Oryctolagus cuniculus: one gene and its partners. The protein of the gene in region 2 purifies or fractionates together with the protein of the main gene of each other region. This does not show direct contact. Links are inferred from orthologs where the notes say so. Each region holds a gene or a part of one and is shown on either strand. Other genes may lie near its edges. The genes, in order: DLG5, SORBS3 and WASL.

The links.
Region 1: the proteins of SORBS3 (region 2) and DLG5 purify together in Homo sapiens (co-immunoprecipitation; 3 studies listed by BioGRID and IntAct, with this or other methods). This does not show direct contact. The link is inferred for Oryctolagus cuniculus from reciprocal best matches to the Homo sapiens genes SORBS3 and DLG5.
Region 3: the proteins of SORBS3 (region 2) and WASL purify together in Homo sapiens (co-immunoprecipitation; 3 studies listed by BioGRID and IntAct, with this or other methods). This does not show direct contact. The link is inferred for Oryctolagus cuniculus from reciprocal best matches to the Homo sapiens genes SORBS3 and WASL.

The regions. Positions count from the first base shown.
Region 1 is NC_091446.1:68,896,237-68,903,134, forward strand, and holds the start of DLG5 (disks large homolog 5), read right to left. Parts: upstream 4,390-6,898; 5' UTR 4,124-4,389; coding exon 3,820-4,123; intron 1-3,819. UniProt on the Homo sapiens protein: Acts as a regulator of the Hippo signaling pathway.
Region 2 is NC_091439.1:770,517-777,364, forward strand, and holds the start of SORBS3 (vinexin), read right to left. Parts: upstream 4,622-6,848; 5' UTR 1,646-4,621; intron 1,631-1,645; exon of another isoform or gene 1,556-1,630; 5' UTR 1,431-1,555; intron 1-1,430. UniProt on the Homo sapiens protein: Vinexin alpha isoform promotes up-regulation of actin stress fiber formation. Vinexin beta isoform plays a role in cell spreading and enhances the activation of JNK/SAPK in response to EGF stimulation by using its third SH3 domain.
Region 3 is NC_091434.1:159,981,723-159,988,577, forward strand, and holds the start of WASL (actin nucleation-promoting factor WASL), read right to left. Parts: upstream 4,588-6,855; 5' UTR 4,182-4,587; coding exon 4,059-4,181; intron 1-4,058. UniProt on the Homo sapiens protein: Regulates actin polymerization by stimulating the actin-nucleating activity of the Arp2/3 complex. Involved in various processes, such as mitosis and cytokinesis, via its role in the regulation of actin polymerization.

The DNA of each region.
Region 1 (6,898 bases), on a different chromosome or scaffold from region 2:
ATGGGTGCCGGTTCATGTCCTGGCTGCTCCACTTTTTTTAAAGATTTATTTATTTATTTGAAAATCAGAGTTACAGAGACAGGGGGAGAGACAGGAGATCTTCCATCTACTAGTTCACTCTCCAAATGGCAACAACAGACGAGGCTGGAGCCAAGAGCTTTTCCAGATCTCCTACACGGGTAGCAGGAGCCCAAGCACTTGGGTCATCCTCCACTGCTTTTTCTAGGCCATCAGCAGGGAGCTAGATTGGAAGTGGAGCAGCCTGGACACGAACTGGTACCCATATGGGACGCTGGTGTTGCAGGTGGTGGCTTTATCCACTGAGCCACAATGCCAGACCCTTACTTATTTTTTTAAAGGTAGAGTTACAGGGAGAAAGAGAAGCAGAGGCAGAGAGAGAAAAGTCTTCTATTCACTGGTTCACTCCCCAAATGGCCACAATGGCCAGGTCTGGGCCAGATCAAAGCCAAGAGCCAGGAGCTACATCCGGGTCTCCCAGGTGGATGCAGGGGCCCAAGCACTTGGGCCATCTTCTGTTGCTTTCCCAGACGCATTAGCAGGGAGCTGGATCAGAAGCGGAGCAGCCAATACTCCAACCAACACCCATATGGGATGCTGGGTTGCAGGCAGTGGCTTAACCTGCTGTACCGCAGCGCTGGCCCCCGTCCTGTGACTTCTTCCTTAGACCTTACAGACAGGGCCCTGGAACCCAATATAATGAACCCAAAAGACTCCATTCATCACACATTCAGCCACAGAATCAGTGAGACAGGAGAGTAAGAAACCAGAGGGCAGGCATCTGGCCTAGAGGTTAAAATGCTGGTTGGAACACCTGAATCCCGTATCAGAGTGCCTGGGTTCGAGTCCTAGCTGTGCTCCCAATTTCAGTTTCCAGTTAAAGCACACCCTGGGAAGCAGCAGATGATGAAGGCTCAAGTTCTAGGGTCCCTGCCACCCATTTGGAGGACCCAGATTGAGTTCCCAGTTCCCAACTTTGGCCTGGCCCATCCCTGGCTGTCTGGGGAGTAAATCAGCAGATGGGAGTGTGATCTCTTTCTCTCTGTGTCTCTCGAATTAACTAATGACTTAGTAAAAGAACAATAAAGAATAGAAGGTAAGTGCTGAACGGCCCTGCCAAGGGCAGAACAACCATACTGGACGCTTCTTTGTCATCCCTACAGCCCAGGCCTGATTGGAGTGGGTTATAAACGTGGGGGATCTAATTGAGCCCAACCTGCCCAGAGGGCTTGGTCAGCTCACCTGCACAGCCGCACGCAGCCACGAGTTTCCTTCCCTTCCAGCCCCACGTGGAGGGCTGGCAGCGTCTCTGTGTCCATGCCACTGCAGACTCCCAGAGGGCACAGGGGCCCAGGGGTTTGGATGGCACTTTGGACCAGACCACAGAGTGCTGAATCCACCATGAACGCCCCCAGGAGACGGCGTGGCCTCCAACGTAGAGACAGTGACAGAGCGGCCACCCCCTGACGCCAGGGTCCTAGGAGCGCCAGCACTTCCTCTCGGGCTCCATGCTGATGCCAGCCCGGGACCTGGAAGCTGCAGAAGTCGCTGAGGAGTCAAAGGAGGCAGGGCACAGCGCTGGGTCTCTCTGACAGTGGCTGCTCCCGGGTGAGGCCGGGGCCTCCAGCCCTCCGACCACAGCCGCTCTTTCGTGCACAGAGCTTTGCCCCCATGAAAAAGCCCCACGTGCCGCTGCTGACCTGCACACCACATCACTCGCTGCCCCCAGGCTCCAGAACGGCAAATGAACGTTTTTCTTCCTAACATGTTGAATCAAATGAAGTCAACTTCCCCTTGGCAATTATTTTTTTTTTTTTTTTTTGACAGGCAGAGTGGACAGTGAGAGAGAGAGAGAGACAGAGAGAAAGGTCTTCCTTTGCCGTTGGTTCACCCTCCAATGGCCGCCGCTGCAGCCGGCGCACCGCGCTGATCCGATGGCAGGAGCCAGGATCCAGGTGCTTTTCCTGGTCTCCCATGGGGTGCAGGGCCCAAGCACCTGGGCCATCCTCCACTGCACTCCCTGGCCATAGCAGAGAGCTGGCCTGGAAGAGGGGCAACCGGGACAGAATCCGGCGCCCCGACCGGGACTAGAACCTGGTGTGCTGGCGCCGCAAGGTGGAGGATTAGCCTATTGAGCCACGGCGCCGGCAATTATTTGTCTTAAGAATCTCATGACCCTCTGTGAAGCCACGGAACTCTGCAATGTGGCAAAGCTGGGGTCCGACATCACTGCCCCGAGGGATAAAATGCAAAGGGGTCGGGACTCTGCTCCCACAGCTTCAGGGGACACCGAACCCACGGCCATTCATGGGCGGGGGGGGGGGGGGGCTGAGTCTCAGGCATCCAGCAAGAACGCCTGCTCCGCACTCTCACGTCTGTGCTTCCAAGAGACTGCTGGACACGGATCTTGGATAAACTTCCTCCTTCTCAAGTGGATAGATGGAGCAATTAACAAGGGGAAAGAATGGCACTTCCCCCAAGACCCTCCCCTGTCCTCAGACCCCTGGCTACACCAAGAGCCCCTCCTTAGCAGCTTCCAAGGTACTATCCCAGGCCAGGGCGCGGTTCGCCCTCTACTCTGATGGGCCCACAGGTGGGGGGACGGAATGCAAGTTTGAGGGACAGAGATGCACGGGCCGCCGATGAAATCCACAGCTGGGTGACCAGCGTCAGGTCCCTCTGTGTGCGTCGGCTATAAAATCAGTGAGGCCGAGACGGCCATCAGACACGAGAGCTGTTACCAGGAACACCTTATAAAATCATCCCCGTAATGAGAGAAGCTTTTAACAGCCACATAAATGGGTCCTGTCAGCCCTTAGCCCACAAGCTGCTCAGGCAGCACTTCGGCCCTCCTGGCTCATTCTCTTTAACTTTAATGCGTGCGTCTTTATTTACTTTTCCTGTATACATTGGCTCATTCTTAAAACAGGCATGTGATGGCCACTTGCTCGCTCCTGGCTCTGAACATGTTAAAACCCTTGGTCAGAACTCAGAACTCCCGGTGCCCAGGTCTTTCTGAGCATGTTAACCACCCAGACACCAGCTTTCTCTCTGGCCAAGCAGGAGCAGTCACAGCTCGCGGCGTGGCAGCCACAATTAAAGGTGACAGCAGAATGCCTGGTGCCCGACAAATGACCAGTTCTCTGCCCTCCCCAACCTGGTCAGGACAAGCCTCCCCCTCCCTCAGAAGCTCACACACACACACACACCAGTCACCCCCAACACCGAGAACTCAGAAGCGCCAAAAGGTACCACCCAAGGGGACCCGTGGGCAGCTCGGCGTTCTGGGAGGAAGCTCAGCCCCGAGCCGTTTGCTAGGATTTTCCCATGGTGCAATGCAACTTCCCAACTTTTCCCGGCCCACAGTTTGCAAAGAGACCTAGGCAGGCATTGTGCACAACCAACCACAGGTCCGGGCCAGCTAAGGGGCTGAGCCGGGCAGAGGTAAGGGAGCCGGGACGGGCAGCAGCGAGATCGGGGTCCGCTGGTCAAAGGACAGCAGGGGCTCCCAAAGGGCCAGTAACCGGGGAAAAGCCTTGGGAAAGGCACCTGGGAGACGCGGCAGGACGCTGCCGCCTGGCAGTGGGAGGGCGAGGGCCCCTGGCCCGGGAGACGTTGCTCCGGGCTACCGGAGGGCCTGGGGCCCCGGGCGTGAATTCAGGGTCCACGCTGGGCCCCCTGTCCGAACGGGCTAAAGGAGGGGCGGCTCCACCCGCGGCCGCCGCCAGGTGGACCGGGGGCCCCGGCGAGATGCCCCCTCGCGCGCGCCGCAGGCAGAAGGGACGGGGGGCGGACACTCACCCGCGCCCTCGGCGGGCTGCGGCGGCCCCACGACGCCGTTCGGATACAGGATGGGCAGCAGGTGAGGCTGGGTCTTCTCCAGCGCCGCCCGCAGGTCCTGGAAGTGGTCGCGCTCCTTGGCCAGGAGCAGCTTGAGCAGCAGCTCCGCCTTGGCGCCTCCCGCCTCCTCGTCCAGCTGCCGCCGCTCGCCGGGGCTCAGCGCGCCCGCGGCCTCGAGCAGCCCGAGCACGGCTTCCACCTCCGTCATGGCCTGGGCCAGGCTCTGCTGACACTGGGCGAGCAGCTCGCGGCGCTGGGGCTCCATGGTGGCGGCGGCCGCGCCGCGCCGCCCGGCTCCGAGGCCGGCGGGCCCGCGCCTGGGCCGCAGCCCTAGCGCGCCGGGAGCCGCGCCGCGCCGGGGGCCATGGATCGGGGCCGGGCCTGCGCGGGCTGGGGGGCCCGGGGCGGCGGGCGGCGCACGGCGCTCAGCAGCGGCCGCCTCCCGGGCTCCGGAGCGCAGCCATGTTGGCTGCCGCGGCGGCGGGACTGGAAGAGGAGGAGGAGGAGGAGGAGGAGGAGGAGGAGGAGGAGGAGGAGAGGGAGGAGGAGAAGGAGGAGGCGGAGGTGGGGACGGCGGCCGGGGCGCGCCCCGAGGCCGGGCTCCAGCCGGGCATGCCCCCTCCCCCTCCGCCTCCGCCCCCGCGCGCCGCCGGCCCGCGAGAGGAGTCGCCGCCGAGTGTGCCTCGCCGCCCCCCGGGAAAAGCGGCCCGGGACCCGGGCGCTGGCCCCTCGACGACTCTGGCCCGGCTCACCGGGGCCCCGCGGCCGCCGCCCGCTCCGCCAAGGCCCGCGCCCCAGCGCGGGCCCGCCCCTCCGGTCTCCCCTCCCCCTCTCCCCGGCCGTCCCTCCGGGAGGCGGCGACGAGCTAGGGGGTGGGCGAGAGGCAGGGGTCCCGGCCCCTACCCCGGGTTGGCTGCAGCCCCCGAGCTACCGGAGACCCACCTCGTACTGATCATAGTAGAGGGAAGGGAGTGTCCCCTAAACTCAGACGTCTCCAAACTAAGACCCTGTTAATGGGGTCTTTCCCCTAACCCGCATCTGAGAGGAGCTAGTCCCCAATCTACAGATGTTGGGTGCTGGCGGGAGGAGGGGGCAAACAGAGGAGTGGCGGTGGTACCCCCAGGCGCTCTAGACGTCTGGATGGTACCCCCCAGCTGGTAGCCCGTCTCCGAAGGAGGCAAATCAATGGGCTGCCTTGCATCCCCCCCCATGACTGCAAGAGGGACCAGGTCCAGCTCCAAGAAGGCCCCCAGTCCTCAGTCAGTCCCCCATTGCCACCGACTTGAGTGTGGACAAGGCTGCGTACCTCTCTCTGGGGGACATGGCCCTGTGCAGGGCTCCCAGTGACCCCACAGCACTCCTGGGGGTCCATTCCAGAGGCCTGTGTGGGAAGGGGTGAAACTCATTCGCCCACACCCAAGGCCTGGGACTCTGTTTACTGCCACTGCTGTTTCCATCCCCACACTTGCCCCATAAGCAAAAGCTGCTTCTTTGGTCTAATGAGAACACAGTCCCCGTGTAGTGCTTAGAACACGGATTAATGCTGGATCTCCCTCTAGCTGCACAGGTGAGAACAAATCAGTTTTCCTTGCTGATCTGTTTTTTTGTCTTTAGAAGAAATACAGAGGGTTGAGGGGACTAGAGCAAGGGGTGCTTAGGCTTGGCTTCATGAACAGACATTTGGTTAGGACATCCACATCAGAGTGCCTGGGTTTCATCCCCAGATCCGGCTCCCGAGACCAACGTCCTGCCAGTACAAACCCTGGGAGGTAGCAGGTGATGGCTCAAGTGCTTAAGTTCGTCCCCAGAGCCCTGGATGGAGTCCCCAGCTCCTGGTTCAGACCCTGGCCATCGGGGGAGTGACCTTGCAGAGGGGAGCTGTCTCTGTTTCTTTGCCTCTTGAATTAAATAACACCCAAGGGAGTCAGCGAGACTTTTCAATTTATCACAGCTTTTTTGTGCGGGCATTCATGTACTTGGGCAGGATGAGAGTCCACGGCTTTGTCCGAGTTTATTAGGGCCTCCGTGATCCCAGCATGGGGGCAGTCACCTGTTCACAGGTCTCATACTTCTCTGCCCAGAGTGCCTGGGCTTTGCCGCTGAGCCCGGTGTGAGGGGAGTGGAAAGCAGACCATGTGCACCGCACCAGGGCTCTAGACAGGCTGCCAGCTCTTGCCTTCCTCTCCCTCCTCTTCCCGCCACCATTTCCTTCCCAGCAGCCACAGAGCCACGGTCATCTGCAGAGTATCCGTCTCTCTGGGCGTGCCTGGACCTTGTGCTCTCGGCTGCATTCATTTAAAATCCAGGAGATGGGAGGAAGGTGGAAGCAGGGGAGAAGGAACGAGGGAAAATTGGAGGCTGGTTTGGTTTATGGTTAGAACTGAGCATAAGCCCAGAAGCAAAAGGTACCTGGGAGGTGGTGGCCAGCAGCCCTGAGGACATGGTGCGGAGGGTGCGTGCTTCCTCCGAAGCAGTGCGGGGCCGTGTACTAGGCAGGCCTGCTGCCAGGCCCTGCGGTACTGGTGCCTCTGGGGTGTATGGAAAGCATACATTCTGAAGCAGATACTTTTTCTTTAAAAAAAAAAAAAAAAAATTTGTTTAAGGAGCCAGGAGCCCCTTCCAGGTCTCCCACATGGCTGCAGGGGCCAAAGCGCTTCCAGTACCTTCTGCTGCTTTCCCAGGTGCAGTAGCAGGGAGCTGGGTTGGAAGTGGAGCAGCTGGGACAGGAACCGGTGCCCATATGAGATGCTGGCATCACAGGTGGTGGCTTTACCTGCTGCACTACAGCGCCGGCCCTATGACTTTATATTTCTGCACAATTTTTTTTTACCCATTCTGGGACACCTTCCCACACACTGTCTCCTCTGTCCCATGTACTAGGTTGAATTATGTAAACCAGCCCCCAACAGAAGAGAGCTCAGAGCCCTAACTCCCAGTACCTGTGGATGGGACGTAACGTCACCACGTTACAACGAGGTCACAGCTCCCATCCAGCGGCTGGCGTCTGGAACATTGGGACAGAGAATGCTGTGAAGACTGG
Region 2 (6,848 bases):
GTTCTTCACAACTCTGCGAAGCCGGGCCAACGTCACTTCACTTCACGAAAGCCTGGGCCGAGGTCCAAAGACATCGCTACGTCACGATGCGATCAGGATAATGAAGAACCCAGATGCACACTCACCTTATTTGAAGATAGGAACGTGGGCTCACCTGCGGGCCCGTTAGCATAACATGGCTGTCTGTGTGATGTCAAAGTCGCCGTGAGCAGACCCAACAGTGCTGGGTGGCGCCTTCTGACCTCCGCGGGCATCACCTGCCACGGGGGCTTTCCCGAGCCCCCAGCCCCAGCTCGCCCCGCACAGCCTACTCCTCTGTGTGAACCCACAGCACCCCGTGATACTGTTTCTCAAAGGCACCCGGGCTGCTCTACCGCTTTGTTCTTAGTAGTCCAACTCCTCTCCAGCATCCCTGCACTTAGGGGCACATGCGGAGTTCGTCCGCTTCTATCGTGGAAGCTACTTCTAGGCTCTGTAAGGACTGGGAGCTTGCTGCCTTTTCTCCCCGGAGCGGCCTCTGCTGGAGAAGCCGCCCAGCAGCTGAGACTCGAGTATCAGTTAGTGGGGGGCAAGATGCCAGGAAGGAGGCCGGGCCGAGGGGACCGATTCTGATGGGCAACAGAGAAACGCTGGGCAGCCACCAGACTGCTCTCCCGCGAGCCGGCTGCAGGTGACAGAAAGAGGTCCTTGCGGCGCTGGAAGTCCCTCCTGGGGGCGGAGGGCAGAGGGCACCGGCTGAGCATGGTTAGAGCCCAGCGCAGGCAGCGGAAGCCAGGCCTTCCCTTGACTTCTGGAACTACGAAGCGAGCAAGAGCCAACAAGCGCCTCCACCAGGAAGTACAAGAAATAATGACACGAGAGCCATTAAAGTCACCATTTAATTTTAAAGGTTTTTTTTTTTTTCCCTCCCATCTTAAAGATAACTTCTAATACACAGTAAGAAAGTTCCAACAAAGTAATTTCTGGTGCACAAAGAGACTGACTAAATGGTTTCTTTCCAATAAATAACACGGCCAACATTTTCTTTAACATAACTGCAACCAGGAAACAAGGCAATCTCCAAGCACAAACATATAATCCATCCATCACCCAGAAGAACCTCAGGAAAAGTGACGCCGCAGCCAGTCTCCTACAGCTGGCCACCTGGGAGCCTCCCTCGGAAAATGTTTGCTGACATGCCGGCTGGGAAGAACAGCTCTGGGCCACGGCCTACCGAGAGGGGGAAAGTCAAGTGCTCACGACGGCATGTCCGAGAAGGTTCTGTGGCAGCTAAGAATGCACCTGCGTTGCTCCCAAATCCAAGGCCACGGTAGGCCTCCTCATTATGTGCACTTCACTTAAACACGCAGAGGAACCCACAAAAGCAGGGAGTGGGGTGGGTATCCAGAGAGAACTCCGTGGAGGGAGGGAAGCATGGGGCAAGAACTTACGGGCAGGCAGTGTGCATGGCCCCACTTTACAGCTGCTCAGGGGGTGGCCCACGTCCGTGTCCTCTCTTCTCGATCTTAAGCCACCTAGACTGGTCATGAGGGCGCAGAAGAGAAGACGCAGAACCCTGTCTCGGACAAAGGTGTTATTCAGCAAGTCTCCCGAGGCTCTGGGGCCTGAGGCCAAGGCCTCCCCGGAGGGAAGAGCCTCTGTTTACCTTTGTGACTGCATAGATGAGACAGCCAGCACTGACCCCATTCACTCGGGCGGGCTGGAGAGAGGCAGGCCAGGTCCCGAGGCCCAGGGTAACATGGGCGCCCTCTTTTACACTCTGCCAGCGGCACAAAGCCCCGTTGTTAGCACAGTCCTCTGCGACAGCCCTGGCCTCCGACTACCACTTGCTCCCTCTACACACATCTGCTCGCTCGTAACGAGCGGCTGATGGCGGCAGTGCCCCGACGGGACTATGGCAACACAATGCTTCGGAACTGTCCCCTGTGGAACCCGGACCTCCTCAACCCATTGCTGGGGCTTCCTCGGCTGCCCCTCACTCCCTTCCTGACAGACTCAGGAAAGACGGGGGCCGGTGCCACACAAGATGGGACCCACAGTTATAACCACAGACAGATACTGCAGGGAACGGAGCTGCCTACCCACGGGGGCTCTGGGGTCTCCCTCCCACCGGGGACGTTTCTGCCTCTGTAGAGAAAGCTGAAAAATGCTCTGAAAGAAACTCGGGTTCTGTCGTTACTGTAGCAACCAGAGTAACACTGGGGGTTCTAGAAGGGTACTGCACAAGGCTTCATGGGTTCGGAGATTCCTTCTCTACAGCTTGGGGAGAAGCTGATGATGCAAAGCAAAACTAGAATGAAGTCAGTCTCGGGGAGGTCTTCCTAAACCCCATGTTAGCGGGCTTAGCCACCCTGGGCTGGCTGGCTGGTCGGTCACCCTGACGGGTCAGGATGCACACAGTTCTCAAGAATTTGAATTTTGTATTGACTGATGTGGTATGCTAAAATTCTAGAGATCAGCTACAATATTTACAGAGCGAGGGAGGGCGGAGGGAACAGATTTCGGCCTCTCTGCTCTGAGGGGCTGCAGAGACCCGTGAGCGATGGCCAAGCCCTATCCCCTGCAGGCACACCTTCCATCTTTCTGAGAGGTCCTGAACCACTCAGAAGGGGCTGGCGCAGGCATCCCACATGGCACTGTCCCAGCTGCTCCACTTCCCATCCAGCTCTCTGCTGTGGCCCGGGAAAGCAGTGGAAGACGGCCCCAGTGCTGGGGCCCCTGCACCCGTGTGGGAGACCTGGAAGAAGCTCCTGGCTTCGAATTGGTCCAGCTCCAGCCATTGCGGCCGTCTGGGGAGTGAACCAGTGGATGGAAGACCTCTCTCTGCCTCTGCCCCTCTGTAACTCTGCCTTTCAAATAAAAATAAATGAATCTTTAAAAGAAAATAAACCACTCAGAAGAGGATCTAAGGGACAATGCCAAGGCCAGTTTCAAGAAATCAGCCACCGCTTCCCAAGGACATTAAATTCTACTCCTCCACTGACAAACAGCCCCGGGCTTTTCACTTCCCATTTGGAACAGCGTCAGGAAGTCATCCCTAAGTTAGCTGTCGGTGAGGAAAGCCAACCTTTGCTAGTACTCCACTGAGTTGCAGCTGTTCAGGGAAGAACAGAGACAGGCAGTGCAGGTATGGTAAAGGGCACGGAACACACTGACCCCCTGCGCCTGGGCAAGGAGCCGCCCCAAGCCCCCAGAGTATATGATGCAGCTTTCACCTTGTGGTCCGTATCTCGTCACAGCAGGCCAGCAATCAGCAGTGTCTGTACCATAACCAAGCTGCCACCCTGAAGTTCTAAGGGGAGCGAGGGGGGTTTTTGTTTTAGCATCCTATGCGTGGGCACGCCTTGGCTTCCTGTTTTGCCTCTGCTATAAAACATTCAGAACACAGACACTAACGCAGGGGGTCTTGAACTTGGTACTCCAAGGGTCATGCTGTCTCCTGTTTGGAGTCACAGGTGCAGACACCTATGTAGGGACTATACGTCGGCTGAGAGCCTCACTTTATTTACTTATTTATTTTTAAAGATTTATTTATTTATTTACTTGAAAGTCAAAGTTACACAGAGAGAGGAGAGAGGAGGTTCACTCCCCGAATGGCTGCAACAGCCAGGCCAGTCAGGAGCTGCTTCCTGGTCTCCCACAAGGGTGCCGAGCACTTGGGCCATCTTCCTCTGCTTTCCCAGGTGCATCAGCAGGGAGCTGGAGTGGAAGTGGAACAGCTGGGACTCGAACCGGCGCCCATATGGGATGCTGGCACTGCAGGCAGAAGCTTATCCTGCTGAGCCACAGCACTAGCCCCAAGGGAGCCTCACTTTAAAAGGCCACCTGTATCATGCTGAAATGCACTCCCACCCGTTCTAGAGAAGTATCTTTCCCTTAGAACTCAACAGAATTTTCAGGGGCCATTGTTGTGGCACAGCTGGTAAAGCTGCTGCTTGGGCCACCAGCATCCCATGTTACAGGCACCGGTTCGTGTCCCAGCTGCTCTGCTTCCCATCCAGCTCCCTGCTAATGCCTGGGAAAGCAGTGGAAGTCGGCCCAGGTGCTTCAGCCCTTGCTACCCACAGGCGACACCCGCAAGAAGCTCCTGGCTCCGGCTTGGCCCAGACCTGGTCGTTGTGGCCATCTGAGGAATGAACCAGCAGATGAAAGATCTCTCTCTCTCTCTGTCTTTCCCTCTCTGGAACTCTTTCAAATATATAAATCTTAAAAAAACAAACAAACAAACAAAAACAACAACAACAACAACAAAAAAAAAACAGCCGGCGCCGCGGCTCACTAGGCTAATCCTCTGCCTTGTAGCGCCGGCACACCGGGTTCTAGTCCCGGTTGGGGCGCCGGATTCTGTCCCAGTTGCCCCTCTTCCAGGCCAGCTCTCTGCTGTGGCCAGGGAGTGCAGTGGAGGATGGCCCAAGTGCTTGGGCCCTGCACCCCATGGGAGACCAGGAGAAGTACCTGGCTTCTGCCATAGGATCAGCGTGGTGCGCCGGCCGCAACTTGCTGGCCGCGGCGGCCATTGGAGGGTGAACCAACGGCAAAGGAAGACCTTCCTCTCTGTCTCTCTCTCTCTCTCACTGTCCACTCTGCCTGTCCAAAAAAAAAAAAAAAAAAATTAAAAAAAAAAAACACCTCAACAAAATTTTCAAACTAGCTCCCATCAAGAGCTGATGCTCCATTATCTTAAATCGTGGCTTCTCACCTGTCTCCTGTGGCCGACCCCTCAACAGCGCAGTACCTGGGGAACACACCCTCCAGGAAGCTGGCTTTATCACAGGACACTTGAGAAGATACGAAGACTTTCCCAAGTACTCATCCTGGTAAGCTAAAGAGACCCGGCTTTGCTACTAAGGATTTGCAATAACTACTTCACCACAGCCTGCAGATGGAGGCTCTGCAGGGTGGTTTCCGCCCTGTGCGGTGTGTGTGGGTAACCCTGGCTTCCATGACAAGAACGGGGTGTGGGACTCTCATCTCCACCACGCGCCATCGGGAAAGATTCCCCAAGGCACCTTTCACACCCTGGGGCTGCAGGAGCGAGCAGCAGGAGGAAACACAGCAGCTGCTTTCCTCTGAGCACGACAGGAAGGCCAGCAAGGACAGCTGCTGGGGACTTTCTCCTTTCACAGCGCTGACTCACAACCAGCGGAGGAACCTGCGTCTCCTTCCCAGCTTCTTACTAACAGGGCAGTCCACGCAGGTGCACCCCAGCCCTTCAAAATGCTGTGATCTCTTGCATAAGCAAACTCGGTGCTATCAGCAAAAGGTGTAAGAAAACTCAGAAAGCTGGGCTGTCTTCACTCTTCTTATGAAAACTCACAAAGCAATGATGTCTCCTTATTGTTTCCTTGAAGCTCCCAGCATGCGTCACGACCGTCTGTGATCCCTGCTTCGACGCTGGAGTCTCACCTTCCAAGGGCGCACTACGCGGTTCCAGACACGTGCATCTTCCACGCTCTGCTGCCGCGTGCACAGTGCGGGCATTCGCTGCAGAGCTGACAATGGCAATTATGACACGGGACCTGTGACCAGCAGAAACCAAAAACAGGGGCCCAGGTGTCCCCCAAATTTCCTTCACTAGTTGGCTGTCACATGGAAAACAAGGGAAGATCATTCCCTTTATTTGAGTACTTGGTTTCATATTCCAGAATATGCTATGGAGGTTGACATACGGTTCAACCTAATGAGTGTTGGAGACGGAGAAACCCCCAGTGCTTGGTAGACAGGAAATCCTCTCTCGTCCGATGCCCTGTAGCAAGACTCTGAGATCCCAGGGGGATCACCCCGTGCATCAGCGTCCACCGGCCCCCGTGATTTCGGAATGACAGACACGAGACAGAAGCGACCGCCCAGGCAAGCACAGCGGGCACACGTATTCCTTGCTGTTGACGGCTCTGTGGAGGGCGCTGTGAGAAACTTAGAAATGGAACCCGCCTTGCACATGGCCAGGTCACCTGGGGCCGAAAATGAAGGCCAAAGAATCTGGCAATATTTCAAGTTCTTTTCAAAATCGTCTCCAAGGCTCTAAGGAAATTTTATAAATCAATCATGTCCATGGTTAGATCGACAAATTTTAAGTAACTCTAGGAAAATCCTTCCTGGTTTTAAATGTTTCCTTCCTAGAACACAGTAAAAGGAACTGGGAGTCCAGAAAAAGTGGGTTCTCATGGAAATCACCCCCCTCGGCCCGAGAGCGCTGGGCCGGCTACTCCCTTACAGGTTCCGGTACAACGAGTCTCCCACCTGCGCGAAGCAGCTTCCGGCTGAAATCTACGAGGACTTTCTCCCACGGCACCCGGCAGGACCGGGTAAAAATGACAAGGAAGAAACATTCTCGTATCTGAAAAGTTGTTAGTCTTAGATGAACGCTATGAGCTTCTAAGAAGGAAGAGTAAAGGCGATGGCTAGTGTGAGTGAGAAACCCAGGACGGAGGTTTCCAAGGCCCTTTTATTAGGGGAAGCCCCCTTTATACACAAGACTCCACATATGTTCCGACAACAACGAGATTTGTTTCTAAAACTCAGGGCAAAACAAAATAGATGCACTTTTGTCTATGTACATATATACTGAACATAAGTTAAAAGGAATTACAAAATGGTCACCTTCCGTACAGAATAAGTGCCGACTGGATCTGGATGCACCTCCAGGTGCGGCTGAGTGGCCGCTGTTGCCTTTTCCAACAATAAATAAATTAAGCTTGTTCTGGGTGTTGACTCCCCTGCGCCACAGCCGGCCTCGGAGTCACTGCTGGGCTTTCCTCCCCAGCTCGCTCCTGTGCGCTGTGTCCGGGTGCGCCGGCGTCGCTGACTTCACTGGCCCAGCCGAGTGCACGCCGTCTTTCCGGGGTGGC
Region 3 (6,855 bases), on a different chromosome or scaffold from region 2:
CGGCTCACTAGGCTAATCCTCCGCTTTGCGGCGCCGGCACACCAGGTTCTAGTCCCGGTCGGAGCGCCGGATTCTGTCCCGGTTGCCCCTCTTCCAGGCCTGCTCTCTGCTGTGGCCAGGGAGTGCAGTGGAGGATGGCCCAAGTGCTTGGGCCCTGAACCCCATGGGAGACCAGGAGAAGCACCTGGCTCCTGCGATCCGATCAGCGCAGTGTGCCGGCTGCAGCGCGCCGGCCACGGCGGCCATTGGTGGGTGAACCAATGGCAAAGGAAGACCTTTCTCTCTGTCTCTCTCTCTCACTGTCCACTCTGCCTGTCAAAAAAGAAAAAAGAAAAAAAAGAAAGTAATCATGGACAGTAAGATAACCACAATGTTTTAAAAGGGAAAAAAATACTACAAGTTAATGAACAGCATTAAAACTATGTATTTTTGTGAAAATATATAACGTATACTTACATATAACTTCAAAAGAAAGCTCAATTTCCACTAATTCTATTTTTAAAAACTGTGGCAAAACAATAAAATTTTCTGAAAATTCACTTTCTCCATGAAAGCAATCACCAATCCTGAGTGTCCCTTACATGTAGGCATATGTCCAGCAATTGAGACATGTATTTCTGCAGTTTTTCTGTAGGTTGTAACACCTATCTTTATCACAATACCCTTCCCTCACTCTATCTAGGTAAGACTAGGTTCTGTTGGAGACCTTCTAATTGTCCTTGAACTTCCACCAGTACTGCCTTACTCAGGCTCTCAAGGTATTTCATGTGAACAACTGTAAATACCCCTCTAATCTCCTCTGTCTCCACTCTCACAATCCTCAATCCACCTTCTATACTGCCTCCACCATTCCCCTCAAAACTTCTAAAAATCAAATCTGATCTTGTGGTTTCCCCACTTATTAGTGCAATACTTCCTCTCAAAGCTATGAAATGCACATTTCTGATATCTTAAGGAATCAGAGAAATGCTGTGCTGAAAGAACTTGTTTTAAATTAAACTTGACTCACAAAATATAGGCTAAAGATGGAGGGGAAAATTCATTAGCATTTTCACTGTTACTTTTCCAATATAACATCTAATGTTTCTAGGATTACTGTATCAGAAACAGTGGACTTCACCAGTGGGTTTCAAATTGTAAAACATATTAGACTTCCTTTAAGCTTTCTAAAAACAGAAATGCCCAACCTCCACCCCAGACTCAGTGAATTTATCTAGAAATTGGCCCCAGCCATAAGCTTTCCTAACAACCTCCACCATGGTTCCAATGCATATCTAAATTTGAGAAGCCAAGCAGAAATCCTTATAGCTCCAGCAACAAACTATCAGCAACTATCCTAACTTCCCAAGCTATCTCATGCCTCTCACTGACCTGGAAAACTATCATCTCAAATATTCACGTTTGGCTTTTACTCATCCTTTCTCTCACTATCCTCTCTTCTGATCCCCTAAACTTTTATTAGACAGTTTCTACATATTTACACGCAGTGTCCTCCTAATCCACATGCCCTATTCCCATGAAACCTGCAACAGGAAGCTTAAGAAACTTTCTAAAGTGACCAAAGTTTGCTGACTACAAAGTCAAGGTGTTTTCCACTGTGGCATGCAGCTTCTTAAACATCACTCTGAACTACTGACTTACTCATCAGTTTATACGTTTGTTTCCTTTTTAGAACACCAAGCTCCCTGAGGGCAAGCACAACCCCGATTTTGACCTCAACATTTAGTTACCCAACACATGCTTGTTGAATCTAAGAAGGAATGAAGCTCTGAGAGAGAGAGAGAGAGAGAGACAGAGACAGAGAGAGAGAGAGAAAGTCTGGTTCATTTCTTGAATTCTTAGAGCTCTCAATAAACTTCTTGCCTAATACATTTGGTCTGACCTGTAAACCTTATTGCTGGATTTATTGTAAAAATGTATGAAAGTACTGTTTTACACTACAAAAGACTGTATAATCAGTAAAGGGAAAAAAGATTATTGCAAAAATTTAAACTATTATTCTCAATGTTACTCCCTATCACCTGGGGACTTTACATTTTAAAGTTAATCTTCCTGACAATTTCATTCCACAAGAACAGGCAACTGTAACAAGTGTGGTTTTAAATGACAGAAATTCAAAAGGTAAAGCTGATTAATAAAAGATGGCATAGAGAAATTGAGCACTGACTACTGACAGCCTATTCGACAATCTGCTTATGCTACCCAGTGAGCAATACTATCTTTCTCTTATCAGGATATGTTCCACATATGTCATTTTTTTGAACCCAGTAAACATTATAGGAAAGCACAGAGCAATTTGTCAGTATACTTGTGTATAATATGTGTAATATGCTTCCTACCTAAAGTTTTAGTATGTCTGGTATGTAAAACATGTACAACTACTTCCTTTTGGATACAGATTATCCAACATATGTAATAAACCAGCAAAGTGGATTTTTTGTTCATTTACAGATAACAAAGAGCTGGAGAGTGTAAACTGAAAAAAAAGTAAAAAGAAAAATAGTGCTGCTTTAGAAATCCTGCATTTTTTCTTAGTTTCTGACAATAAAGAATGAACTGGTGATTCCTTTAGCATCACTTTTACAAACAAAACAGTAAGGAGAAAAAAAAAAGATCCTCTTCTAACTAAAACAACATGATGTAGTGGAAAGTAAAATGGGCCTAAGCACCAGGAGTCCTGGTTTTCTAGTTCCAGTTACATTACCAAATGGTTGTGTGACTTGGTGCTCAGTGGCTAAGTTTTCCCATTTGTTTACAAAATTGTGTGGGCGAGGAGGAAGTTAATTATATTTAAAGTTGTTTCACAAAAATGTGATTCTGAGCCGCCCTTCTGTCCTTCATTCTGATCATTCGATCAGTAAACTCCATGTTCTTTAAGATCTACATCCAGAAATACGAAATACCCCTAAAACTGAATGGAATGATTCAGTCTCCAACTGTGTGGCACAAGATATAAAGAGGAGCCTCTAATAAAGTTAACACTTAATCTGGTAACTTTCCAGAAACTGTTTAACCCTAACTTTTTAAACAAACAGGTGCAATCTGGTTTGGCATCTCTTAACATGCCTAAAGAGGGTGACAGAGTGACACTACCCTGTTGAAATTTCCGTGGGTGTTTCCTGGGTTCCAGCGCAAACTCTGCAGGTGCCAGCAAGCAGGGAGAAAGGGTCCCAGCCAGCACTGACTGCAGCTCAAGCCAGGCACCGCAGAAAGATCCCGACACAAGGCCTATACCACGGAGCAGAACCTCCCCACCCCCAGAAGTGCCAGCAGCCAATGTAATGAATGCTTCCGTCAACAACACACATTCTCCTTCCCACAGCACCCTGCCCCTTCCTTGCTCCCAACCGGCCATCTGGGGTTGGAACCGGCCGCACAGCACCAGCCTAAGAACCACTCTCGGCCCCAAAGGCCAAGAACTACTAGAGATCGAGGTTTCCGTGCGCAAGGCTGCGGGGAGAACAGCACCCGCTCCTACAAATGCAAAAATAAAAAAATCAGTGGGGAGGAGATTAGAAACCAGGCCTAGGCGAGGCTGCTGTGGAAATAAACCCTGCTTCTGTGCACTGGGGAGCAGCAGCGCTTCCTGCCCCTGTTCTGATCCTGGAGTTCCCAGGAACCTGCACTCCATCCACTCCCTGCTGCAATCTGCAAGGGGCTCCACTCCCCGAGACCTACCCACTCCCCAAACCTCTGGCATTGTTAGGAAAGGGACGCCCGGGTTCCACACAGGAGGTGACGCGAGGGCAGAACAGGGGTGGTCCCCTTTCTGAGCGTCAGGGGCTCGGGCGCTCTGAGAGTAAAGTTGGAACCGGCAGCCAGGGCGCGGGCCGCGGAAGGGCCGCGGAGGTGACACTCCCTTGTTCTCGGGCAGCTCCGGAGACGGCGTCCGGCTGCCCCGGCCCGCACCCAGGGAGCAGGGCGAGGGCGCCGGCCGCGGGAGGCCTGGCTCGCGGCGGGACTCTTTCCCCGCGCCACTCGCGCCTCCTTCCCGGTCCCCAAGCCCAGGCCCCCGGCGGGCAACGTCGAAGGTAGCGACGCAGTTCTCGACCACTGACCACACATTTCTTGCCGAGGAACGTGAACAGGGACTCGTTCTCCTGCGGGGTGAGCAGCAGGGACCCCACGTTGGTGACCCTCCGCGGCGGCGGCGGCTGCTGCTGCTGCTGCCCGGAGCTCATGGTTGCGCCGGCGGGGATGAGAGTCCAGGGCCGTGTCCTCCGGTGAGTGGGCCACGCTCGTCCCCCCTTCTCAGTGACAGGGGCGAGAAGCAGCGGAGTCACCAGCGCAGCATCTCGAGGCTCCTCCGGCGCGGGGAGGAGGAGGAGGAGCTGACGGCGGGCCGCGCGGAGGAAAGGACGCTCCCAGCTCCAGCCCGGCTAGGCTTAGGCCCGATGGTCGTTGTCCTCGCACTCCGGCGACTGCGCTAAACTCCCAACTCCTCCTACAAGCCTCCTGCGGCGCCGGCGGCGGCCGCACAATCCAACATGGCAGCAGGGGCGGGCGAGACCACAGTACGCAGGGCGCGGGGGAGCGCGCCGGAAACGCGGGAGGAACCCCCCCACTCCGGGGCAGGCCTCGCCGCGCCGGCCGAAGCCCCGCCCCTTTCCGGCCGCGCGGGGGCTGGTGGGGCTCGGCTCCCGGACCTGGCTCCGGCCTGTGGCCTTTGGGTACCAGGGACTGAGGAGAGGATGAGGATCCGCTACCGCGGTGGTCCGCCGCCCTCTCTTCTGAGGGTGCGCACCTTGCGAAGCGTCCTTTCTCAGTGGCGGAAGTGGGACGCGCACGCCGCCTGTCAGAAAGGTCTGGAATCTGGAGGGGACAGTTGGGCGCGCGTGCCGCCGGCTTGGGGCTGAGCCGCAGGTGCACACTCCCGACCCGACTTCCCCAGAGGGAGCGGAGACGCAGGCCTCTCTCCCTGCGTTCCTGAAACGCATCTTGATGCGGGCAAGTCTCCAAACGCGCTTAGAAAACGCTTCCGCCGCCCCCCTGGCTCGCTTGTCACGTGCGATAAATGCTCTAGGATGTGTACCATTTAAATTCGAGTTCTGTCTTTCAAGGACCCTGAACTTACAACCACTCCGTGAATTGGGAGATAATCCCCCCATCTTTTTCTCTTTCTTTGGAACCCCAAAGTTCTTGTATTGTATCTACCCAGAGTTCTTGTATTGTTTCTCATTTTGAGAAGTCACGGCCGGAAAACGCCTTACCTGGTTAAATTCTTAGAGGTAAACCTCGAGCTGATGTGTGTGCAGAAATGTTGTAAGTTGTCTGGGATAACCCCCTTTATTCAGTAAGCTTATATGCTCCACAACTGTTGTGAGAGGAAATTTTGAAATATGGAAATGGTAAAACTGGTCCACGGGGAACAATGAATCGTGCGTCTGACCTCCACGTTAAACGTATCCGCATTTGTGCACACACTTTAATGTGTTTGCTAATTCTCAGTTTCAATAAAAAAAAAAAAAAGTGGTATGTGAAGACATCTTCCTAAGACAAACTTTGATAAAGCTATTTGATTTTAGTGGCTCTGGTAACTTCCCATAGAAATCCCCAATGTATTAAGTAGATGAATAAACCATTATCAGTGCACTTGGGAAATATTAGGAAAATTTATGGTTAAAGATGGTCTAGTAAAATTGAGCAGTTATAAATCTGCAAAAGGAAATGAGGGCGTTACACCTTGGAGATTTTCATATAATATGTGGATATTTCAAACTTGACCTTGATTAATAATGTTATAGAAAAATGGAGGGGTAACTGTTCATAAAGTAGTTTAAAAGGACAGTAGTGGAAATGTAGATCCGGAGTTACCTCTGAATCACAGAAGATAAACCTGGGTGCTATTTTGTCTTTGATCACAAATGCAGCTACAGGTGGAAAGCAGAGTAACAGCAGCAAGCTGTTAAAGTTACTGGGAAGTGATAGACACCAAAACCCTTATGTTTTTGAACCTGTAAATAAGTTTAATACTAAAAGTACAGACTTCAGGTATACTTTAAGTGGCAGTTCCTGTTAAGCCTCTTAGAACTTTATGGAACTTTGGACAAGTTAACTTCTGTAAGTCTATTTCCTCATCCATAAAATGAAAACGATTTGTTTCGTAAAGGTGTAGTGTAAGTATTGAAATTGCACCTATTTCCAAGTTGCAAAATATGATAGCACATATAAGGAACTTACATGTAGTGAGTACTCAAGTATTAGTTGTCACTTACTGTCCTTGCCTATCGTCTATTCTATTCTCCTTTGGCTAAAGGCTCAAGTTGAATGAAAATATATTGTTTTACCTTTGTTCTGTCTAACCCTAAAAGCTATCCTTAGAATTTACAACTCTACAAAATCTCCAAATATATGATGGTAAATTTGGAGCATTTTCTCTTTGTTGGCAGGATAGTATACCCCAGTATGCCAATATAGCAAAACATTGAAAAACTATAAATCTAGGAATCCTGTTCACTTGTAATTAATAAAAACTGAAAGAATTTTTATGCTACAATATCAGCTTTTAAAATGTGTAGATCACAGTATTTTTAGTTTTGGTAGTCTTTCAACCTCTTATATTCCCAGACTGCAGTTTAAATTGCTTTATTTCTTCCAAAAATATTTGTCTTACCCAAATGCAATTTTCTATTAACCCTTGTTCAATTTTATTTAGATTTCTTAAGATTGAAAATTAAGATCATCATAGACTTTTTTCCTCAAGCCCAGTTTCTTTAATTTTTCCTTAGCCCTTTTTCCTCAGGCCCAGTTTCTTTAATTTTTCCTTAGCCCAAAGTTCATAAAACTGCACTTTAAGCTTTTATTTTCTTCAATGTTATATTTTGCTTTTCATTGGGCTTTTTCCAACTCCTTGAT